Arabidopsis thaliana: one gene and its partners. The protein of the gene in region 2 interacts with the protein of the main gene of each other region in a pairwise test. Each region holds a gene or a part of one and is shown on either strand. Other genes may lie near its edges. The genes, in order: AT2G35910, AGL23, WOX14 and AGL92.

Region 1 (5,839 bases), on a different chromosome or scaffold from region 2:
GTAGCACTCATCAGAATAAGACGCAAATCTGGGCGTCGAGGAAGGAGATCGCGTAGTATGATTAGTAGAAAATCTTCATTCATGCCTCTTTCGTGAATCTCATCCACGAGCAAATGGCTTACGTTAGTTAGATTAGGATCCTCAATCTGCATTTCAACAATTGATTCGACATTTCAAAGTAAAGAAGCTTAAAATATCATACTTCAACTACATGTGATGAGTAGTTGAGTAGTAGAATAGTTGTATCTTACCAGCCGCCGGAGTAAAACACCAGTAGTGCAAAATAGCAATCGTGTTTGATCAGAACGCTTTGATTCTAGACGAATCTGATAACCCACAGATTCACCAATGGATTCACCTCTTTCAGCAGATATACGAGAAGCAACAGATATGGCCGATATACGTCGAGGTTGAGTGCAAATTATGTTGCAATCAGCACCTCTTAGGGATGATATTTCTTCTTCCAATATAAATTGAGGAAGCTGTGTTGTTTTACCACACCCGGTCTCTCCTGAAACTACCAATACCTGAAAAATAAACAACGGACACAACTATAAGCGCAAGATCAACACAACACAAGACAACTAAAAAAAATAGCTTGACAATATTATTGGAGAGAGGCAGAAATAATAGCTGATGGAATACAGAGAAGAAAAACATACCAAACAATTACCTGGTTTTGTGAAACAGAGTTAAGAAACTCCTCTTTCATTTTAAAAGCAGGTAGCTTTTCTCTGAACGCTTTAAGTGCTTTTACACTCTCAGTTGCCTGTGTTGAAACGGTTATAAATTGATGTTATGTCCAGAATCTACATCTACCATAATGCATACGGTTTACTTTAGCAATACATGTACCTTAAGCTTTTCCTGCCTTTCCTTGAGTGCAAAACTGAATTTTTCTTTCTCAAGAGAATCCGGCAATTTGGAAGCAGAATCAGGTCTTTTCAAGCCAAGAGTTGAAGTACGATCCTGTTGATCGTTAAAAGCTGAAGCAGAGGCACCAGAGGACCCTGATTCTTGTGTTGTTTTCAAAAGACTTCCAAGTTTTCTCTCAGTCTCTGTGGACATTTTAATCTACAAGAAAAAGAGTATAAGCGTTTCAGCAGCCACCACTGAGTACAAAACTTTCGTACTAGCAACATCTCTATTACCTCTTTCTGAGTGGATCCATGCCGTTCATCAAGATCCGCTCGATAATCTGGTAAAGGAACTTTGCTAACAACAAGAGCCTTCCCTTTATTGTACGCATGACTTCCATTCCAAAAAACGATAAGCAAATTCATGACATACTCTCACCATATGGACTTAAAACGAAGTTGTCGAAGAAGATATAGAGACTTACAAGTAAAGACCCATCTGCAAAGCCATATCAGAAAGTGTTTGCTGATCTCCACGGCTAAAATTACGCTTAATTAGCATCTCTTGTTCTCCTCCTGTTTTCCATTGCTCAATCTTGTTCCACCATTCATTCTCATCAAGTACTTCCATCTGAGATAAATTATGACTACTTCATCATCTGATTCGAAATTATGTATCAATGTCTAATCGTTAAATTGAAGTAATGAACTCAGAATCTACAAGAACAATGTATCAATTACCTCAGCTTGTTGCTGGCGCAAACGCTCAGCTCTCCACACAGGATCCCACCATCGCTGTTCCCCCCGGCCGCCACCACCACCGCCACGACCGCCGCCGCCGCGTCCACCACGACGACCGGAGGAATGACCTCCGCCTCGACGACCACCTTGAGAATTAGGACCGTGAGGAGGCATAGCGGCGGTGTGAAAGAGAGGACGAAGCGGAGAGAGTTTGGAAGAAAATGGAAGGAGAAAGCGAAGCGTGGAGAAACAAGAGAGGGACTGTTGCATTCGTAATGAATATAAAGTTTGAAACAGTTTAAAGTTGAACTCGCACTGACGACTATTTTTGCTTATTGGAAAATTTTGTATTGAATTTTGTATTACACTATACAAGATAACACACACATATGATATGAGTGACTTAAACCTAATTTAGCTTCAACTTTCAACCATACATACACATTACACATATGAGTAAATCTAATATCATTAGCCGGAAGATATGCGCTTTTTGTGAAATTACTAGATCAACAGTATTTGATACATCACCAAACTGATAGCAAATTAGTAATGATGGAACTAATTTGTGACACCACCAAACTGAGTCAACTATGAGACTTGGACAACTTATTCCAAGAGTGAGTTAACAATAAAAAAACAATGTCAGGATTATAACATTTTTTTCTCTCTTATTATTTCTTCCAAACTTTTTATGCCTAGTAGTAAGTGTTTCCTTTATATATTTGGCCTAAGTAGCTCAATTAGTGTTTGAGTGTAATTTCATATGTTTTGAGTATCCGGCCCAAATATATGGCTTGAAGGTCATAAATTGTTTATCTAAATTCATATTGTTTTAGATGACATAGACTATAGAATATATGATTGGGAATCCGGAGCTATGGGTTTTAAAAGCCCATAGTTACTCTACTGATTGGGGAAAAAAAGAATTGAAAAATTGGAAGAGCGGCGGCAATAATTAAGTGTTCAATAACAATGGTGTATTCGAATATCAATTAAAATTCACTGAATACATTCATTCTTCACCAAATGAATCCGCCCCTGGATAATATACGTTCATTTATCTCCATTCTTAATTACATGTATATCTGTTTATATACTATCATAGCTAGTGTATATTAAAATATACATCATGCGAGCATGCAATGACGCATTTTCTTCATTAATAACAACTGTCCAACAGATTGTTTTCCATTATCAAAGATGCCTTGTGTTAGTAACTTGGCCGTTAAGTGAATGATTTTTATCCTATGGTAGTTTGCCAAAATATAATTTTATGTAATACAAATGTTAATGCCCACGACTCAATTGGTTAAATTTGGATTTCCTAGTATATACAAATTATTTACCTACAATTATATTTTATTTTATTGTCTTGCCACTTTTAGGAGAAAAACAAAACTTTATATTAATCTTCTAATATGGAGAGATTTCAAAGTTTTAAATATTCTAATACTAAAATAAGATAACACTGCGACTTTAAAAGCAAGTGAAGGAAACTAAACGTTGCTTAGGTGACATGATTGGACTTAAATAAGCCTGAATAAAGGAGATAACTAAACGTACATAAACAACAAGATTAGTATATAAGTACAACGTTGACTTCAAACTAATTCAGCGTAAACCTTCTCTAATCTTAGCCACTGGCCCCTCCCTACATTCCTAAATCAAATCTTAATACATGTCACACGTTAAATTCATTAGCCCTGTATCCAATTCAATTGTGCAACTAAGTGTTTTATGTTTGAAATAAACAACGAATTAATGGGTCAATATATTTATATATGCGTTATACTATTACAGTATTACCAATACAATATTAGAAAATTTATACATTGAATATTTTTTTAACCATCCACAAGTCACACAATTCTTGCTTTGCTTTGACAAGCTTTCTTATCCTCATTCACATGCATTTCCTCCCTTTGTCTCTCTCTCTCTCTTAGCGTTGACTTTTGATAACCCCAAGATGCTTCAATTTACATTGTCTTATATCAAATCGCTGACCAAAAACCTCTCCATTATTTCTCCTCTTCCTCCTCCCAAACCCATTAAACAAAACCATCAAACCAAACCCGCCATGAACAATTTCCAACCACCGCCACCGTCCGAGATGCCGGACTACAACGGCCTCCTCGGCACGGACGACATAGGAGGATTTCGATACGGAATCGGTGTCTCCATCGGGGTCCTCCTCCTCATCACCACCATCACCCTCACCTCATACTATTGCACACGTAACCAGCTCTCTTCTTCACCTTCACAAACCAACCAAGATTCAACACGTATCCATCACCATCACCACCATGTCATCATCGACGTTGTCCCCGGTCTTGACGAGGACACCATTCAAAGCTATCCAAAGATTCTCTACTCGGAAGCAAAGGGACCAACAACGGCGTCGTGTTGTGCCATTTGTTTAGGAGACTACAAGGGAAAACATCTGCTGCGGCAGCTACCAGATTGCAACCATCTCTTCCACCTTAAATGTATCGACACGTGGCTTAGACTCAATCCTACGTGTCCTGTGTGTCGGACTTCGCCGCTTCCAACTCCTCTGTCTACTCCCCTCGCCGAGGTTGTCCCTTTAGCCTCCTCCGTGGCCGCCACAAGAATGTCCTAGTGATTTGTTTATTTTATAACCGAAGAAATCGAAATCTTGACTAATCTCCGGCTTAAACTCGTTATTAATTCTTCTTTTAATTCCTTGTAAATTTGTTATTTTTGGTCACTAACTGATCACTGTATATACACTCTTCGAAGCCGAAGATTTGTAAGAGAAAGGAGGTTAAGGATGAATTTTTCACAATTTTGTTGGATTAGTTTTTCTTTAAGCAATGTGAACGAGTTTATCTATACATACGTACCAAGAAAGAGTAATTAAAGTCGTTTTGAATATTGGCAAATATGTTTCTTGGCTTGTATTGAACTTTGAGAGATCATTTTAAATATTGAGACGTCAAAGAAAAAAAAAAGAGTTTGAGGACAAGTTGGAACTTAAGATAATGGGATCGAATCAATTAGGCGTTTTTGATAGTCAGTCTGACAATCTTTCTCAATCATATGGTTTATTTATTAGCAATTTTTTTTTTGTTAAACAAAACCAGATATTTAACAGCGTATTTGTCTTATTGGGTAAACCGTTAGCCAATACATATGATGATATGAGAAAAAGACTTTTATGAGGACCTTAAGAAAAGATATAAAACGTTGATTAAGAGATATAAATCAAGAAGAAAAAAAACACTTGAAAACGATTGTTTTTGTCTCCAATCTCAAGCTGGCTGAAATTAAGTAGGTGAGATGATAAAAATGAGTTGACCATGATAAAACTACTCTTATCTTATTTAAAGTATTCGGTAAACAAAAATATTACTCCAAATATTAGGAACCATGATCGAGAGAGAAAACATGGTGAAAAGCTCAATTTCTCATTAATGATTCAAAGAGTTTGTTACAATCGTTTATAGTCAACAGACTCAATAACCAGAAATAACCAAAGATATGCTCAAATTCATTTTTACAAACACTCAAAAGTGATATGCTCTTTCTCTCGGCTCTGTATTCCTTTCATAACAAGACAAACCGAGGTCGTTCAAACCATCATCGGTAACGTCGAAGGCTTCAACTTGAAGCAATGATGCTGATTTAAGACTTATTGTGCTAGGCTTCTTAATATTTTGGCCCATCTGCCAGAATTAATGATGAATACTTTCATATTGGGCCCTGAGAAATTGACTAAGACCCAATTGTTCACAGCAATGTCAAAAAATTTACCCAAAAAATCTTTCTTTCCCATCTTTTAACTTCAACTTTTATTACTTTTTATATAATCTATTTTCCTTAATAAGAAAATTAAATACTGAATAAATTCTAAATATTTGATACATTCTAAACATTTTTATTATGTAATGGTGAATGTCTAAGTATTTCTCAAAATTTTAGTTACAACTCTGATCTACTAAGAAAGTATCTATGAAAAAAAAGAATAAGATACAAGGTAATAAAATGAGTGGATCTTAAACGCGAATACAATAAATCAAACAATTTGAGACGCATCATACGTTAAAAATCTATTAACCAGCGGTCTTCCGGTTCAGATTGAGAAATTTGACTACTTTAGTTTGGTTTGATTTGGTTCAAACTTTTTTCCGACCCGTGAAGAAAAAGAAAATCCTCACGCGCCGGTAAGTCGGTTTCACGAACAAAGAGGCCTGAGTATAAAAAAACAAATCGGACGC
Region 2 (5,579 bases):
TAAGAAACGAATATGGAACCTAAGTGCATAATATTCGTAATGATTCAAACTATGTTATATATAGGTTTATTGGAGGGAGAAGCAAGAATGAGTGGAGATGTAACAATACAACGTGGAGGGTCTTGCAACAACGACAATACCTGTCACGATACATGTCCGGGTTGCCGTATCACACAATGTATTTTCAGGCAATGTGTTTGTACTCGTTGTAACACTCCACGATCAAGTTTACGTATTGAATCTCATATGTAATCTTGCTTGTAATAAACTATCCAGATTTGTGATGACAAGATGATAATAATAAACATTTTTACTTTTATTTTATACTAGTGTTTTTTTTTTCTCATACTCTAGGTCACTTTTACAAACATCAACAAGTGGAACTACATACATCTTATAAAATGCAGTATATCTTAAAGTAGTCCTCGTATAAAAACCCTTGCAAGTTGCAACTGTTGAAAATCTAATACAATATTTTAACGCATTTTCCCCCTTTTGACATAAATTCCATAAGTTTCATTTTCTTCAAATTGTAAATTACTGGAGTTTCTTAATCTCTTTTATAACGGATGTACTTATTTAAGAAAAATAGAAAATAAGCATTTGCACAAATTAAGAAAAAGATAAGCATAACCACAACTGAATTAAGAAGGAAGGTTTTGATCGGAGGAAGGTTTTAAAACCACAATTGAAGAAGCCAGCTTGAAAGACCGGGATTAATATATGAATTATGTAGATTTTTATTATTGTGTGATTTGATATTTTCAATTTTAATGTTCTGTTTCAAAGATGATTGACTATATTCCTCGGTTAATAAAGCCAATACATTACAATATATATGACGATATCTGAATGTATAACTCTCTGTAATGTAGATATATTTTTGGTTTCTATGGGGTCAGAGACAATTGCTGCTCTGTGGTTTTTACACACTTGGTTATTTATCGGATGTGTATAGTAGCTTAACATGCTTGATAATTCCATGTATGTGTTTAGAGTTTAGTTTTCATTATCAGATAGATATTAGTTACACTTTATATTGAGGTCCCTAAGTTAAACCATGCATATTCACTATCATTATTTCGGTAAAAGTTAATTATACTCAAGATGGTTTCTCAGTTTGGGGGAGTTGCAAGACTGTAGAAAGACCTTGATCTCCATTGCCTTCACTTCACCATGAGTGAGCTTAAAAGGTAACTTTCATTTTCAAAATGTGATCTTCTGTTATGTCTATGCGATCATTCTAAATGAAACATTAGTAACGTCACTGATATTTCAATACTCAAACTAAACAAACGGATAAAGAGAAAGTGAATTGACTAACAAACTGGTGTATATATGCTTTATATCCAAAGCCTTTTTTCGTTTTGTTTAAGTCGTTCTTATCTCCACTCTCTTTTTTATTTTCTTTGAAGGGCACAATATCACTATTGTATACGGCTTTTGTTGCTAAACTACTTTTTATAACCTATTCCCATGGTGGCAAGAATTTGTTAATGCAATTTCTGGAGAAATAAAGGTAATGTAGTCTCTAGCTGTAAGTAAGGAAATCACTTTAAGAAAATGCAGATACTATACAGGAAATTCGGCTACTCTTGAGAAAAGTCATCTACTTAGGCAAAAGATAAAGTGCAAAATTTAACGTTGATATCCGATATACATAGATAGGAACGAGTACAAATATGAGATTTGTTCTTTACAAAGCAATTTTACATGCACCACCAATACAATCAAAGAAAAATAGGTATCTGCCCAATGTTTTCTGGCGTTTACTTTAGCAAGCAAATCTTGCAATTCATCAAAATGTTTATGAGTTCTTGAAATCATTATAATAATATAAAATATCTAACTTATTTTCCAAATTTTGTCACTTAACATTTAACATTGCCACCACTTATTATAGTTAAAATTTACATTGTTGTAAAGAAATTTCAATAACAAAATATTTAAGAATATTATCCAAGTTTTATTTATTTATTTATATATTTTAATTATAAAACTCCAAATAAAATAAACATTTAAAATAATTAAAATACTATGGCATAGTATTAGAGTGAGTCGATTTCTAGTATAATCAATTATATACTTTTATTGTCAAAATATATAATTTACTCCTACAATGGTAATTTATTATTGTTATAATGTTTGGCATTCAAATTTGTTACCTTATGTGATTGTAAAGTAAAACATAAGATGTCGTCATGTGTCATGTTTAAATTGGATTAATATATTTAAAGATAACATAAACTAGTTTTTAACCTTATCTAAAAAGAGAGTTATACATTTATTTATTTAGATATTTTTAATATGACAATAAAAATTTGAAAATTCGGAGATAAAACATAATTTAATTATTTTTACATCAAAAGTCGGCAGTCTAAAAATTCAAAAGCAGGCGATTAAAAATAAATTATTGGACAACTTTTTTAATTTAGATATTTTTAATACTACAACAAAAAGTTGAAAATAATTTTAATAATGAATTATTATACAATTGTTTTTATTTAGATAATTTTAATCTTATACAAAATACTTGAAAAGGCGGCGATGACATAAAGTATTAAGGAACTAATTTAGTTGGATTCTTTGTAACATCCAAAAATAAAAACTTAGAAAGGGGAATCAATCTTAGAGATGTGTGAAATATATATATATATATATATATGTTTATCTCACAATAAAAACTTGAAGAGTCGGCGATCACAGTTAAAATATCAAACAACTATTACTTAATATGCAATAAGAACTTTGAAAGTCGGCGATCAAACTTAAATTTATATTTTTCAATTTTCTATATAATAAAAGGAAGTTGGACATAATATTTCATTAATGCATTATGAATTTTATATAAATCTTAAACACTTAATAATTATTTATTTTATTTTATAAGATTAGTTTGATTAATAAAAAAGGTTAAAAAGGATATTGACTATAGAAAATAATGGAAAAAATCCTTTAACCAATCATTGGTACCTATATTTGATAGGTTTGTAATAGGAAAGATATCCCCAAAATTTTTAATAACTTGACAGGCTGTAACAAATATAATAGCTAAATGATAATGTTATAGATAAAACTGTAATAATTATATACCTTTTATTGACAAAATCTGTAAATCTGTATCTAAGCCTTAAATGGTAATTTATAATTTATTTCTAATATATAAAATAGGAAATTATATTTACATTTAAAACTCTAAACAAATTTTGTATGTTTTTTTCTATAAATACAAAGACATATTATCTTTAATACAATCAATTCAATTTTTCTTTCTTCAAAACATCTAAAAAATGGTGAAAAAAACTCTTGGTCGTAGAAAGGTAGAGATAGTGAAAATGACTAAGGAATCAAACCTTCAAGTCACATTTTCCAAGAGAAAAGCTGGTCTTTTTAAGAAGGCTAGTGAATTTTGCACATTATGTGATGCAAAAATTGCGATGATCGTGTTTTCACCAGCTGGAAAAGTATTTTCTTTTGGTCATCCAAATGTTGATGTTCTGCTTGACCACTTTCGAGGGTGTGTTGTAGGACACAACAACACAAACCTTGATGAAAGCTACACAAAGCTTCATGTTCAAATGCTCAACAAATCCTACACTGAGGTAAATGTCAATTGTTGGCAATATCTAATATTTGTTTCTCTCTTATTTTTCGATTTTGATATTGAATATTATATAAATGTTTCACAATTCATGGATATTCTTAACAAATTCATTATTCGTGGATTTATTCGTAGGTGAAGGCGGAAGTAGAAAAAGAACAAAAGAATAAGCAGTCGCGGGCTCAAAATGAAAGAGAAAACGAAAACGCTGAGGAGTGGTGGAGTAAGTCTCCATTAGAACTCAACTTAAGTCAATCAACCTGTATGATACGTGTTCTTAAAGATTTGAAGAAGATAGTTGATGAAAAAGCAATTCAATTAATCCATCAAACAAACCCAAACTTCTATGTTGGAAGTTCTAGCAATGCTGCTGCTCCAGCAACTGTTAGTGGTGGTAATATCTCCACAAACCAGGGGTTCTTTGATCAAAACGGAATGACGACTAATCCTACTCAAACACTTCTGTTTGGATTTGATATTATGAATCGCACACCAGGAGTTTAAATAAGTCTATCCTCATTATGGGTCTTGGTACTATAAGTTCATCTCTCTCGTTGTTGACTTTTTAAGTCTCCAATAGTTTGTTGTGTCTTTTTTTTTTTTTTTTTTTTTTTTTTTTTAATTGTTGGTGTCGTATGTCTTTTAATTAAGTCTTGAGTCAATTGGCTTGTTGTTTCTTTTCGTTGTTCTTTGTGTCTTGTAGCTTTCGATGTTTTTTGGTGGAACATGAATAAAGCTATATGAAGTTTTATAATATTTTCATTACTGTGATCTTATATGTTTATTGTGTATATGGAACTATATATTTTTGAGGCATAGTTAATATTCTAGTAATTTCCCAAAGATCTATATAAGTCTAGTAATTTACAACTTTGATATGCTATATTAACTCAGCCAGCACAACCACAAAGCTATAGACATCACTCTTTGCTGTGAATTGGCTAGACTGAAAGTACTCAGGATCCATATATCCCATCGCGAAACTTTGGCTCGATATTTCTCATCTAACATGATGTTTGTAGACTTGACGTCTCTGTGATAGATTGGAGATGATTCAGCCGAGAGCAAGTATGAAAGAGCTCATGCAATATCCACTGCTATGCGGAGACGTACATCCCAAGTAATCATCGTGAAATCATCAGCTTATCGTGAAGATGCTCGAAAAGGTTGCCATTGGGAATAAACTCGTAGACGAGAAGAAGGACATTTGTCTCATTACGGAAACAACCTAAGATTTTCACGATTCTATGGTTAATCTGCGAAAGAATTACAACCTCATTGATGAACTCTTCTAGCTTGTCTGCGTCCACAACTTTGGGTTTCTTTACTGCTACAATTCTAGCATCGACAAGCATTCCCTTGTACACAGTACCTTGACCACCCTGACCAAGTATTCTATTTAGGCTGAAGTTTTCAGTGGCTTTCTCTAACTCACTCGAGCTGAACACTCTTGTCTTCTCGACATTGCCTTCTGTTGAAGTCAATTGTTGTTGCAACAATAAACCCCCAGTACGTTTGAAGAACTTTCTCTTTTGGTTTAGCCTCATTTGTTTTCTACTAAATTTTATAACCAATATACTCCACCAATGAAGATTAACAAGCCTAACCCTGCAAACCGGCAAAAACAAAATGATTAGATATATCTTGGAAATATAAATACTAAAAAATGAATAACTTCTATTTTATTTTATTTTGGTGTGTTGAATATTAACTTCTTTTATTGCTTGTGTAGATGGTAATATTAATTACTAATGGCTAATTAGGGGTGTTAATTTGTGTAAATTCTCATTTATTTAAATGCGAATTACTTTGATCCATACGGACCTATTTAGACCAATTTATAATTTAAGCAATATATATCACTACAAAAAAACGGCCTTTAACGTCATTTTATTTAGATGTTAACCTCGGTATTTATATGACCTAGTTATAATGACATCCGTATTTAATTGACAATTAATAACATCGGTATTTAACT
Region 3 (6,163 bases), about 17 Mb from region 2:
AAAGTTGTGTGTATTAAGTCAATTGTTTCAAGCGTTTTATTAACCTGTGGGTGTTATAATAATGCAGGAGAAGGCTCCTTATGTGGCTAAGGCTGACAAGCGCAAGGTTGAGTATGAGAAGAACATGAAAGCCTACAACAAGAAATTGGTAATTGTTTATTTGCATATAGAAGGCTATGTTATGTTTATATTAACCACGTTATTGAGTTGTCTACTCTCTTTATACTAGTCAGTAGTCACACTATTCAAGGCTTTCTTAATTTGTTTACTATATATTGAAGTTTGAGTTATGTTTATTCTAAACAATGATGATACAAGCAACTGGTAATTTGGTTAATGGGGGTGCTTGAATAATGGTGGTGTGTTGTGGTTTCAGGAGGAAGGCCCTAAGGAAGATGAGGAATCTGACAAGTCAGTTTCAGAGGTTAACGATGAGGATGATGCTGAGGATGGCAGTGAAGAGGTAAGTTATTTTACACCTCTGCAATCTAAATATCTGTAGTATGAATCAGTAAAGCTTTGTATTAACTCTGTTATACATGTGATGTAGGAGGAAGACGATGATTAAGAAGTTGAAGTTGTGGTAGCGTAATATAGAAGGCTGCAAGGAATCTCTCGGATGTTTTTATCTCCTCTCTTAAAATGTTAATTCGGGTGGTTAAAGTGGTTTTTTTTTTTTTTCTTTTTCTTTTTCTTACTGATGTTTCGTTTTAGTAAACTATTACCTATCTCCCACTGATTCTACGGGTAATGGAAAAAGTGAATGTAGAATGTTTAGATGGTGAAATGAGAGATTTGTAGCTCTATATAATGAATGATTTAGTTTTTAATTCCTCTACGTTTTAATGCTCTTTAGACTCTTTGTTTCTAGTTGATATGAGGATTTATACCCCTGAAAAAAATATTAGTGTAAACCATGTTTTTACTTAAATCATATTGGGGTTGTGAGTCCTATTGCATAATCACGCTCTTAATCAATGTGTTCCACAAAGAGTAAACCATGTTTTCACTTTTTATTTAGTTATTTGACTTTAGACACAGGTTGGTAAAATTGTTTTGAGGCTATACTTGAATTTTCCAAATTACCAACGCCATGATCATTTGGTTCTCTTTTCATCTTTTGAAAAAAAAAAATGGTTTGCATCAGCTTAATTAAGAGTTTCTCTTTGGATTGTATTACTTCGTTTGATTTAAGAAATAAGTAAAAAATTTGATCATTTTTGACAAAAGTGAAGATTTTAGTGAAAATCTGCGTATTAGCAGCAGAATAGTCTCACTTATGTTATAAATTTTTAGTCAACATCTTTATATCAAAGAACCTTTTTGGTCAAATTCGTACATTTTCTTCTTAATCAACTTAGAAAAAGAAAGAAAGCATGCTCTTCTTTTTCCATCAATAGTTTAATCATTAGTCATAAGTCACAACGATAATATTTTATATAATGCTGTGATTAAGCCTTGCTTCCGGCTTTACCTAACCACTATATACATAAAGTAAGATACACAGTTTGTGTTCCTCTACGGATGTAACAACAATACCTGGTTTTAATTAGGTTGTTTTTATATATTAGTGTGGTGTCTTATTATGTCATCAACACATAGGATTAAGATCTTCTTAGATACATATTTTGGATTAGCACATTTTTCTATTTCAAATGGTAGATATCTTGACCCGTAAAACTCGATTAAAATGTTGAAATTCTAACAAAAAATTGTGAATACCGTCGACCAAAATCTATCCTAGTGAAAGGCCATAGTTCTCCAATGTTTTCAATATGTAACCAATGTAATAAACCTGGTAACTGTAAAAATTAAATTGGTCCAATTGATCATTAAACAAAGACATCTTTCCAAAAAGTGTTTGATTTAACGGTAACAAATAAACTAAAGATCCCTTTATTCATAAACAAAAGAATATATATATCATTCACTTTCTCATTGTCTTGTTCATATGGTAAAAAAAAAAAAGGAAAAGGAGAAAAGCAAAGAAATAGAGGAGATGGATAGAGAGATCCAAAACGGTGCGTATAGTGGGAGAGTGATGACTGAGGAGCAGATGGAGATTCTCCGTAAGCAGATCGCCGTTTACGCCGTTATTTGTGACCAACTCGTCCTCCTCCACAACTCCCTCTCTTCTTACCATCCACTCTCATCAGGTACACTTCTCTCTGTTTTTGTTCCTGATTAACAACAATCACTTTTCTATGTATTTGATTTTTTTACAAGAGACCATTTGATGAGCTTCTTTGTATACGGTAGAAGAAGTGTGTAAGACGAAAGTGTTTAAACGCAGCGTTTTTTGCGATGCAAACGTTGTTTCCATTAATACACTTGACCCATTGAGACTTTAGTGTAAAAATGTGAAAATTGTGTTTGCGTTTGGTATACAACTAACGAAATCCAAGGCTTTTTTTTTCCCAGTGTTCGATGCATAACTTTGAATCAAATTTCATAATGTTTTAGACATTCGAAGACAGTTTACCTACCGCTTAGATATCGATTTATCATTGCTAAAGATATTTGTTAATATAGTTTATGATTTGCTTAGATCGAACAATTCAATATATTATTAATGTTTATTTTCTCTAGACGTAAGCTGATTTGAGGGTTATCATGTCGTGGCCGATTTTTAAGAAGCTTGAGTTATTAGTGCTTTGTGGTTTTGATAATACATATTTTGTACATGGAAGAAACTTAAGGGTCACGTCACTTATTTTTTTATAATGATTGAGTGTAAAAAAGGAGTGAGGCCAATGGTTGGCGGATACTTTGATCCGATGGGGGCATCGTCAAGTTCTCATAGGATATCGACTAGGCATCGGTGGACTCCGACTTCAACACAGCTTCAGATACTTGAGAGCATTTACGACGAAGGAAGTGGAACACCGAATCGACGGAGGATTAGAGAGATCGCGACGGAGCTGTCTGAACATGGACAGATCACGGAGACAAATGTCTACAATTGGTTTCAAAACCGGCGAGCTCGGTCCAAACGAAAGCAGCCTCAAACGACGACAGCTAATGGTCAGGCTGACGATGTGGCGGTGACAACGGAGGAAAGGAGGAGTTGTGGAGATTCAGGGGGATTAGAGTCTTATGAGCATATACTCTTCCCAAGTCCTGACTTAGGTAAAAAGATCATTTGAGTTTTTAAACATTTGGTTAGGTTTATTTTTTATTTTTGGTTTGAGTTTGCATTTTTTTTTGTGGTTTCAGGGATTGAGCATTTGTTGAGTATAGGGAAATTTATGGAGACTTAAAATTCGTATAGACTTCGATGAAGAAGATCTCTAATCTATTCTGTTTTCTTTTACTCTGTTTTCATAAAATAGAATTGTGTGTGTTTGTGTGTGACATTAACAACAAGTCTTCAATTTTATTATAATTTTGTGTTCCTCAACTTGATATATATGCCCACATCTTTTTCAGCATCAGAAAGAAAAGTGATGCCATCTTAAACTCGGTTGATATTTTGACCGGTAAATCTCAATTCAAATGACACTAAAGAGTAGAAGCAATTGACCATAATAACCGATCCTAGTCATGACCATAGCTTTTTTCATTGTTTTTAAATTTATTGTTATCACACAAAAAATCATATAAAATCGGATATTGGTTACATGACCACACAATTAGAATATATATCAATTATTTATCCAATTGAATCCCAAAATTACCTCAATTAACTAGTAATTGAAAAAGAAAAAAAATCAGACAATTGATCCTAGTTTGACATCTTTCCATAAATTGTTTAAAGTTAACGGTAACAAATAACTAAAGATTTCTCAAAAAGAAAAATACATAACACCTTCACTTCCACATTGTCTTCTTCATATGGTAAAAAGGAGAGAGGAGAAGGCAAAGTGGTGAAAGAGGAGATGGAGCAAGAGAGCCTAAACGGTAGGTATGGTAGTAGAGTAATGACGGATGAACAAATGGAGACTCTTCGTAAGCAAATCGCCATTTACGCCGTTCTTTGCGACCAGCTCGTCTTCCTCCACAACTCTCTCTCTTCTGTCCCTCTTCTTTCATCAGGTACGTACACTACTCCATAATTGTATTTGGAAGAAACTTAAGGGTCACGTAACTGAATTTGTATGGTAATGATTATGAGAAAATACAATAGGAATGAATCCAATGAGAGGTGAGTATTTTGATCCAATGGTGGCATCGTCAAGCGCTCATGGAATGTCGACTCGGCCTCGATGGACTCCTACGACAACGCAACTTCAGATTCTTGAGAACATTTACAAGGAAGGCAGTGGAACACCAAATCCGCGGAGGATTAAAGAGATCACGATGGAACTGTCTGAACATGGACAAATCATGGAGAAAAATGTATACCATTGGTTTCAAAACCGACGAGCTCGGTCCAAACGAAAGCAACCTCCGACAACGACAATTACCTCGAGTCAGGCGGATGATGCGGCCGTGACAACAACTGAGGAGAGAGGGAGGTGTGGAGATGATTCTGGAGGGTTTGAGTCTTATGAGCATATACTGTTCCCGAGTCCTGATTTAGGTAACCTCTTACTATATGATATTTATGTGTCTATGCATCGTATTTTGGTTTAATTGAGTCAGAGATGAAAAAATGTGGTGAACTTTTTGTGGTTTCAGGGATTGAGCATTTGTTGAATAGGGACAAGTTTATAGACTGAGTGAAACAAAGATGATGAACTCTCCAACCTCTCTGTTTTTATTTGGTTTTCTCAATAAATTGATATCATCGTATATGATTGTGTGAGGGAGACCTTGAACAAGTTTTTTTTTACTGTAGAATTTGTTTTTCACAAACTTCTGGTAAAACATGTATAGAAACCTTGACCTTATACGAATATGTGTATATACACGTAACTAACTATTCAAGAACTACTCGAGTTAACAAGGGATTGCCACTACATGGACATAAATTAAGTTCTGAACGAAGCTGGGCCATGAGCAAAGTTCCTTGGTTCACATTGGTTTAGGCAACTTGGTGCTGGTTTGGCTTTCTTGACTTATCCCTCGTTATGAATCAGACCGGTTCAGCTTGTTGATGCATCCTTTGTCTAGGCCTTCTTGCTCGTTGGCAAATTTCGTTTAGGTAGTCTCAACTGCACAGAATTAAGATTGTAGATCAGACTAACTGTGTAAACAGAAACCGGAATGCATGTTATTATTGCCTTTACAGACCTTTGATTTTGTAGTCCTCCAGCCTCCTGATTCTTGCTGCTGATTTGGGGAGTATGCAAATCTGTCTATTGACTTTAACACATCACTCTTATCCACAGCTGCATTAGTCTCAGCAAGAGGTTCCTACAATACCCATTAGGTTATTATTATTTTTGCACAGATACCACAAGCTTTGTCCTGAAAGAGTCAAAACAAATTCGCTTCTATTTCAAAATAATTTGCAGCTCCATTTGTTCCAAACTGAAACCTCAAATTGCTTCTAAAGACTTAAGGGTATGCAAGAATACCTTGTGCTTTAACGTTGAATCCTTGCTTGCAGCTTCATTGGTGACTTCTAGATGATCAGCAAAGAACAAAATCTGCAAAGTAAAATTAGATCTTGATATTAGCGAGCGCTCAAGACAATAAACCGAATCACAAATGAGAGACTTGAGCACTCTAAGGAATCACCACTAAGTCAGCTTACTTTGCTCAAAAACTGGACATTTGATGAATCAGTAGCCATGACTTGCACTCCGAGACATGTGTTTGGGATGCTGCAGAAAGGGCAATAGATAGTATTGAAAACACATCCATCTTGCTCGCACCAAATACCCTGACCTTTTAAGCCTTCAAATTTTCTGCAGAGTCTCTGATTAACCATTGAGCAATCTGTCATGATAATTGAAACACTTGTTGACATTTCTGCAGCTCCAGTTCTTGACGTTTTTTTCAGAAGAGACAGCAAATACTTTTTCGATGACGAAGTCAACAAGCAATTGACATATGAGTGATTCTCAGGTAGACCTAATGGACTTCTGCAGAGCGAACAAGATAGCTGCACTTTCTGATTCACTTCTGGAAAAGAATATATGTTGTAGTTTTGGGATCTTGGTTCGGTAAACCCAAACTCAATTCTTCTTGTTAAACTCGTATGATCCGAGGGTCTAGTACTAGGCCTAGGAGCATCACTGTTTTCGACTTCAAGGTCAATGACAGGAGAGCTGGT
Region 4 (5,774 bases), about 13 Mb from region 2:
TTGGCTGTGGAATCTGCAACAGTAGATGAAATCTTTATATCGCTCAATCTGGGAACCGAACATGCAGCACTCGAGACAGTTAACAAGTTAGAATCTGCTATGTTTGCTTGGAAAGAAAGGATTACAGAACAAGGCAGCAATGGTAAATCCCCTGTAAGAGCATCGTGGTCATTCGCTAAAGATCCGTTGTCTGAAATTGGTCGCAATGAGTCACTCTTGAACCGAGCAGAAGCGCTTAGAACTCAGATCAAATCCAAACACCCTAATCTCCCTCACTCGTTTCTTGATGCTACAAAGATCCAATATGACAAGGTATAAATAAACAAAACTAACTACATCTTTCTTAGTCCAATGGTCTGAAACATCTTTCTTCTCTGTGTTCAGGACATAGGTCATGCGGTTCTCGAAGCATATTCCCGAACACTTGCGAATCTAGCTTTCCGGATTCTTTCAAGAATGGGAGAAATCTTGAAAGAAGATTCTTTAAGCAACCCTAACTCTCCTGCACCACCGAGTTGCTTCCCTAGCTCCCGTGACCCTTATAGGACACCTGAGAGACCTCTGCTTTCGTCCCGTGTAAGGCATTCTTTAACCGATGACATGAACAAAGCCGATGGGACAGAGACTGGTTTAGATTTTTTGTTTGCAGATGCTAAGGCAAGTAATTCAGTGAATACAACTCCAAGTAGAAGCAGTAGACTGTGGTGTTTGAGTAAAGTGCCTTCTGATACTTCTCCTTGATTTAGAGGGTCTTCCTAGTTCGATGCGTGCCACCTGAAGCTTCTCCTTTACTTTGAAGGTTTTAAATTATGAAGCCTGAGATGTTGTAAATGTATTAACATATTGCAGTTAAAGTACGAATTCATACAATTTTGTTCATAACTTCACGGTGAAAAGCAAATTTTTAATCCGGGAAAAAAAATTGATACGATTGATTATGATTAAATTTATTAGTCTCTTCCAGAAAATACTTTACAAAATAAGGTATATTCAAAACAAAAATGTCCAAAACCATAATCTATTTATAATATACTAGACTAGAATCATTTTAATTACTACTTTCTTGAAATCTAATTTGAATCTCAATTAGGTTACTATCCCGACTTCCATCTTTGAATGAAGCATTAGCTGTCATCTCGACAAATGATCAACTAACAGGTATTTTCACCAAGCCACTATCTTTTGCACACTTCCATTAAGTCACTAGCAAGATTGGAGTATAAGAAGTCTTCATTTAGAAGGGATCTATCTTGGTTGGATATGTACATATTATGGGCTTAAGGATAATTTGAAATTAGCACAAAGCCTTAATGAGTTTCCGTTTGTACATACTACCTAATAAGTATAACAAAATGGCAAGCTTCACTTCGTCTATCATCCCGACACTAATGAGGTTTTTTGGGTTGGATTTAAGTTCAACTGTGCCATCCGATACTAACACAAAATATTGTTAAAGGCCAATTATGCTTACTAACTCAAAGAAAATCGAACAGACCATAATTGTTTTCAATATAGCAAGTATAGAGATCAAATGGATCTTGATTACCAAAAAACTGTTCTTGTAAAAAATTTCATATACATATAACTCAATAAGGACCTATAACTTTTCAAAAGATTATTTTACCATATTTAAAAAATCTTTAACTAAACTTTTGAACATGACCTATATATATAGTTCAAACATCCTAACTAGACATATAAATAAAAATGAAAATTATTGGAGGGTCTTAATAAGATACTCCCCCATTATAATCATAACTAAAAAAAAATTTAAGATAGAAAGAAGAGAAAATTTCTCAAATAAGAACTTTGGGTATACTAACTAGAACTTTACAATTGTCTCTTTTTAATTGTTCATTTTTATTTTTAAATTAAAATTATTAAAAATATTAAGACTTTAAAAGTTGGGATACTTTTTTGGGATATGTGAAAACCATTGGAAGTGCTCTAAACCTCTTGTCAAATTTCTAGTTTCAAATATTTACAGCTCATAATTAGCTGGCAGTACAATGAATATTTTAACCAAATTAAGAAAAATATATGCTCCAAAAGGTATAATATATGCATGAATTCATAATTTATCTCTAAAATAACTGATTTTCTTTTATATCCAATCATGATTTTACACGTGTACATTAATTGATACGTTTTAATGTCATAAATAGTCATATTAGTGTATAAGTCAAAAGATGGAAAAAATCCATATATATTATTATATTAATGTATAAAGACAGTTTTACCCTTATTTCCTTTTAATTAAAATCAACTTATTGACTAAACAAAATTAGATGGACCTTCTGGCCATGGCAGATTTTTTAAAAATATTTTATTAAAAATTTAATTCATATAACTAAATCTGTGATTTTAATATTTTATAAGGAAAAATTTCTTTATTACTTTATTATTATTTTTTATATTTTATTATTGTAAAGATAAATTTTTATACATATAAAAGAGCATTTTTTATATATTAAAACATGATAGAAATTTTAATGATATTTATTATTTTATTATATTGGTTTACAAACTTTTTTCTATGTAGGCTTCCTTTAATGTCTACATATTTCAAAATTTTCGCTCGTTCTAAATATTTCGTAAGACACGTTAATTCTTTCCCGAAATAATTTTACTATAGATAAACAAAGTTCCTAAGCTTTTATATATTCATGATTTTACATGGAAATTAAGCTGTAAAACTCTATTCGAAAAGAAAAGAAAAACACTTAAAATATTAGAAATTTTCACAGTTTATCAAAGCTTAATATTACTCTTAAAAGAAAAGTGAGTAATATACGAAGATAAACTATATTTAGTAAAGAGAAAAGAGAATCCAATCTTAGTCATAGCTTTAATTAGTGGCCTAATCAATTAATAAGACAGTAGCCAAAAGATTTAATGCTGTAACTACAAATTAATGAGTCCAGAAACGTGATAAGCCACACCCTGAGTAAAAAATCACCCTTTTCGTTGCTATATAAACAGTCTTGGGCCAAGAAACTAAACAAACACAAACACCAAAGAAAAGAAAAATAAAGATAATGAGGACGAAGACTAAGTTAGTACTCATACCTGATAGACACTTTCGGAGAGCCACATTCAGGAAGAGGAATGCAGGGATAAGGAAGAAACTCCACGAGCTGACAACTCTCTGTGACATCAAAGCATGTGCGGTAATCTACAGTCCGTTCGAGAATCCAACGGTGTGGCCGTCAACCGAAGGTGTTCAAGAGGTGATTTCGGAGTTCATGGAGAAGCCGGCGACAGAACGGTCCAAGACGATGATGAGTCATGAGACTTTCTTGCGGGACCAAATCACCAAAGAACAAAACAAACTAGAGAGTCTACGTCGTGAAAACCGAGAAACTCAGCTTAAGCATTTTATGTTTGATTGCGTTGGAGGCAAGATGAGTGAGCAACAGTATGGTGCAAGGGACCTTCAAGATTTAAGTCTTTTTACTGATCAATATCTTAATCAGCTTAATGCCAGGAAGAAGTTCCTTACAGAATATGGTGAGTCTTCTTCTTCTGTTCCTCCTCTGTTTGATGTTGCGGGTGCCAATCCTCCTGTTGTTGCAGATCAAGCTGCGGTAACTGTTCCTCCTTTGTTTGCTGTTGCGGGTGCCAATCTTCCTGTTGTTGCTGATCAAGCTGCGGTAACTGTTCCTCCTCTGTTTGCTGTTGCGGGTGCCAATCTTCCTGTTGTTGCAGATCAAGCTGCGGTTAATGTTCCTACTGGATTTCATAACATGAATGTGAACCAGAATCAGTATGAGCCGGTTCAGCCCTATGTCCCTACTGGTTTTAGTGATCATATTCAATATCAGAATATGAACTTCAATCAAAACCAACAAGAGCCGGTTCATTACCAGGCTCTTGCTGTTGCGGGTGCCGGTCTTCCTATGACTCAGAATCAGTATGAGCCCGTTCACTACCAGAGTCTTGCTGTCGCGGGTGGCGGTCTTCCTATGAGTCAGTTGCAGTATGAGCCGGTTCAGCCTTATATCCCTACTGTTTTTAGTGATAATGTTCAATATCAGCATATGAATTTGTATCAAAATCAACAAGAGCCGGTTCACTACCAAGCTCTTGGTGTTGCAGGTGCCGGTCTTCCTATGAATCAGAATCAGTATGAGCCGGTTCAGCCCTATGTCCCTACTGGTTTTAGTGATCATTTTCAGTTTGAGAATATGAATTTGAATCAAAATCAACAGGAGCCGGTTCAATACCAAGCTCCTGTTGATTTTAATCATCAGATTCAACAAGGAAACTATGATATGAATTTGAACCAGAATATGAGTTTGGATCCAAATCAGTATCCGTTTCAAAATGATCCATTCATGAATATGTTGACAGAATATCCTTATGAATAAGCGGGTTATGTTGGAGAGCATGCACACATCCCTTTCATGGACGGAAACTACTACAACTACCACCAGCCACCAACCGTTGGTCTTACTTCCACCGGTCACATGCCTTCCACCACCACCACCACCACCAACAACAACAACAACAACAATGTGTGATGTGTTTCAGTAGTGTGCATTTTGTGTTTTGTTTGTTTTAAAAGACCAGTATTTAATTATGCTTTTCCTTTTCAATTAGTTGTTGTAAGAGTTGAAGGTTTTACCTTTAAGTCAGTTCTATTTCAATGAAGTCATTTCTGTTTGGTCACAAATTATTTTTTACGAGCTTTTTGTTCTTAAAATGCATAACTAAATAGATCTGCCAAAATCAGATAGGATTTTGTTTCCAAAAAACATCAATACTTTTCAAGCCTTCATTATGGTTAAATACTTATATGATTAAATATTTTGAAGAGAGTTCAGGACGGAAGTTGTATATATAGGAGGAGAAGTACCATTGAGTATATATACGAGGAGAACCATTGTTGAAATTGGTCGCAGTGAATCACTCTTGAACCGAAAAGAAGCGCTTAGAAATCAGATCAAATCCAAACACTCTAATCTTCCTCACTCGTTTCTTAATGCCACAAAGATCCAATATGGCAATGTAAACATAAACAGAACTAATTACATCTTTCTTAGTTTATGTTCTGAAACATGTCATACTTTACAATACAATTATTTGTCGATATTAAATCCTTCTTCTTTGTTTTCAGGACATTGGTCATGCATGGGCTTCTTGAAGCATATTCCCGAACACTTGCGAATCTTGCTTTCTGGATTCTTTCAAGAATGGGAGAAATCTTGAAAGAGTTATAACTCCCTTGCACCACCGAGTAGCATCCTTAGCTCATGTGACCCTAAAGAGCACCCCAAAGGCCTTTGCTTTGGTCCCGTGTAAGGCCTCTCCGATGGGACAGAGACTGGTTTTCTATTTTTTGTTTGCAGTTGCTAAGGCAGGTAATTCAGTGAATACAACTCCAAGTAGAAGCAGTAGACTGTGGTGTTTAAGTAAAGTGCCTTCTGATACTTCTCCTTGATTTAGAGGGTCTTCCTAGTTCGATGCGTGCCACCTGAAGCTTCTCCTTTAAAAACCGTTTTAAAGACTGTATTAAGATTGAATATGGTTAAATTGATTTGGCTCTTCTGAAAATTTTAAATAAAAAGCTGAGATATTAAGAAAATAAGGTATATTTTAGGATATGCATATATTATGGGCCTAAGGTAATTTGAAATTAACACAAGCCTTAATGTATCTCTATCTGTACCTATCACCTACTAAGTATTCATTAAGATTTTTTTTTAGAAAAATGGCTTCCTAGCGTTCTATTTCAACTATAGGCTTCACTTCGTGTATCATCCCAACACTGA

Evidence for each region.
Region 1: the proteins of AGL23 (region 2) and AT2G35910 interact in a two-hybrid assay, tested with the Arabidopsis thaliana proteins (one large-scale study listed by BioGRID).
Region 3: the proteins of AGL23 (region 2) and WOX14 interact in a two-hybrid assay, tested with the Arabidopsis thaliana proteins (one large-scale study listed by BioGRID).
Region 4: the proteins of AGL23 (region 2) and AGL92 interact in a two-hybrid assay, tested with the Arabidopsis thaliana proteins (one large-scale study listed by BioGRID).

The regions. Positions count from the first base shown.
Region 1 is NC_003071.7:15,071,607-15,077,445, reverse strand, and holds AT2G35910 (RING/U-box superfamily protein), read left to right. Parts: upstream 1-3,305; 5' UTR 3,306-3,567; coding exon 3,568-4,221; 3' UTR 4,222-4,559; downstream 4,560-5,839. Other genes in the region: AT2G35920 (RNA helicase family protein), read right to left, coding at 1-146, 252-527, 674-769, 856-1,074, 1,152-1,251, 1,343-1,488, 1,599-1,868.
Region 2 is NC_003070.9:24,278,047-24,283,625, forward strand, and holds AGL23 (AGAMOUS-like 23), read left to right. Parts: upstream 1-3,290; coding exon 3,291-3,602; intron 3,603-3,736; coding exon 3,737-4,105; 3' UTR 4,106-4,187; downstream 4,188-5,579. Other genes in the region: AT1G65352 (Putative membrane lipoprotein), read left to right, coding at 65-252. UniProt on the Arabidopsis thaliana protein: Probable transcription factor that controls female gametophyte (megagametogenesis) development and chloroplast biogenesis during embryo development.
Region 3 is NC_003070.9:7,180,607-7,186,769, forward strand, and holds WOX14 (WUSCHEL related homeobox 14), read left to right. Parts: upstream 1-1,951; coding exon 1,952-2,156; exon of another isoform or gene 2,157-2,723; coding exon of another isoform or gene 2,724-2,742; coding exon 2,743-3,129; coding exon of another isoform or gene 3,130-3,146; exon of another isoform or gene 3,147-3,216; coding exon 3,217-3,260; 3' UTR 3,261-3,450; downstream 3,451-6,163. Other genes in the region: HMGB3 (high mobility group B3), read left to right, coding at 68-154, 384-463, 551-587; WOX10 (WUSCHEL related homeobox 10), read left to right, coding at 3,879-4,035, 4,127-4,522, 4,621-4,661; AT1G20720 (RAD3-like DNA-binding helicase protein), read right to left, coding at 5,052-5,096, 5,176-5,298, 5,463-5,534, 5,642-6,163. UniProt on the Arabidopsis thaliana protein: Acts redundantly with WOX4 downstream of the TDR/PXY receptor kinase to regulate procambial cell proliferation and differentiation in vascular tissue, independently of any role in vascular. Involved in the regulation of gibberellin (GA) biosynthesis pathway.
Region 4 is NC_003070.9:11,321,441-11,327,214, reverse strand, and holds AGL92 (AGAMOUS-like 92), read left to right. Parts: upstream 1-3,038; coding exon 3,039-4,296; intron 4,297-4,386; coding exon 4,387-4,523; downstream 4,524-5,774. Other genes in the region: ROPGEF14 (RHO guanyl-nucleotide exchange factor 14), read left to right, coding at 1-312, 385-741. UniProt on the Arabidopsis thaliana protein: Putative transcription factor.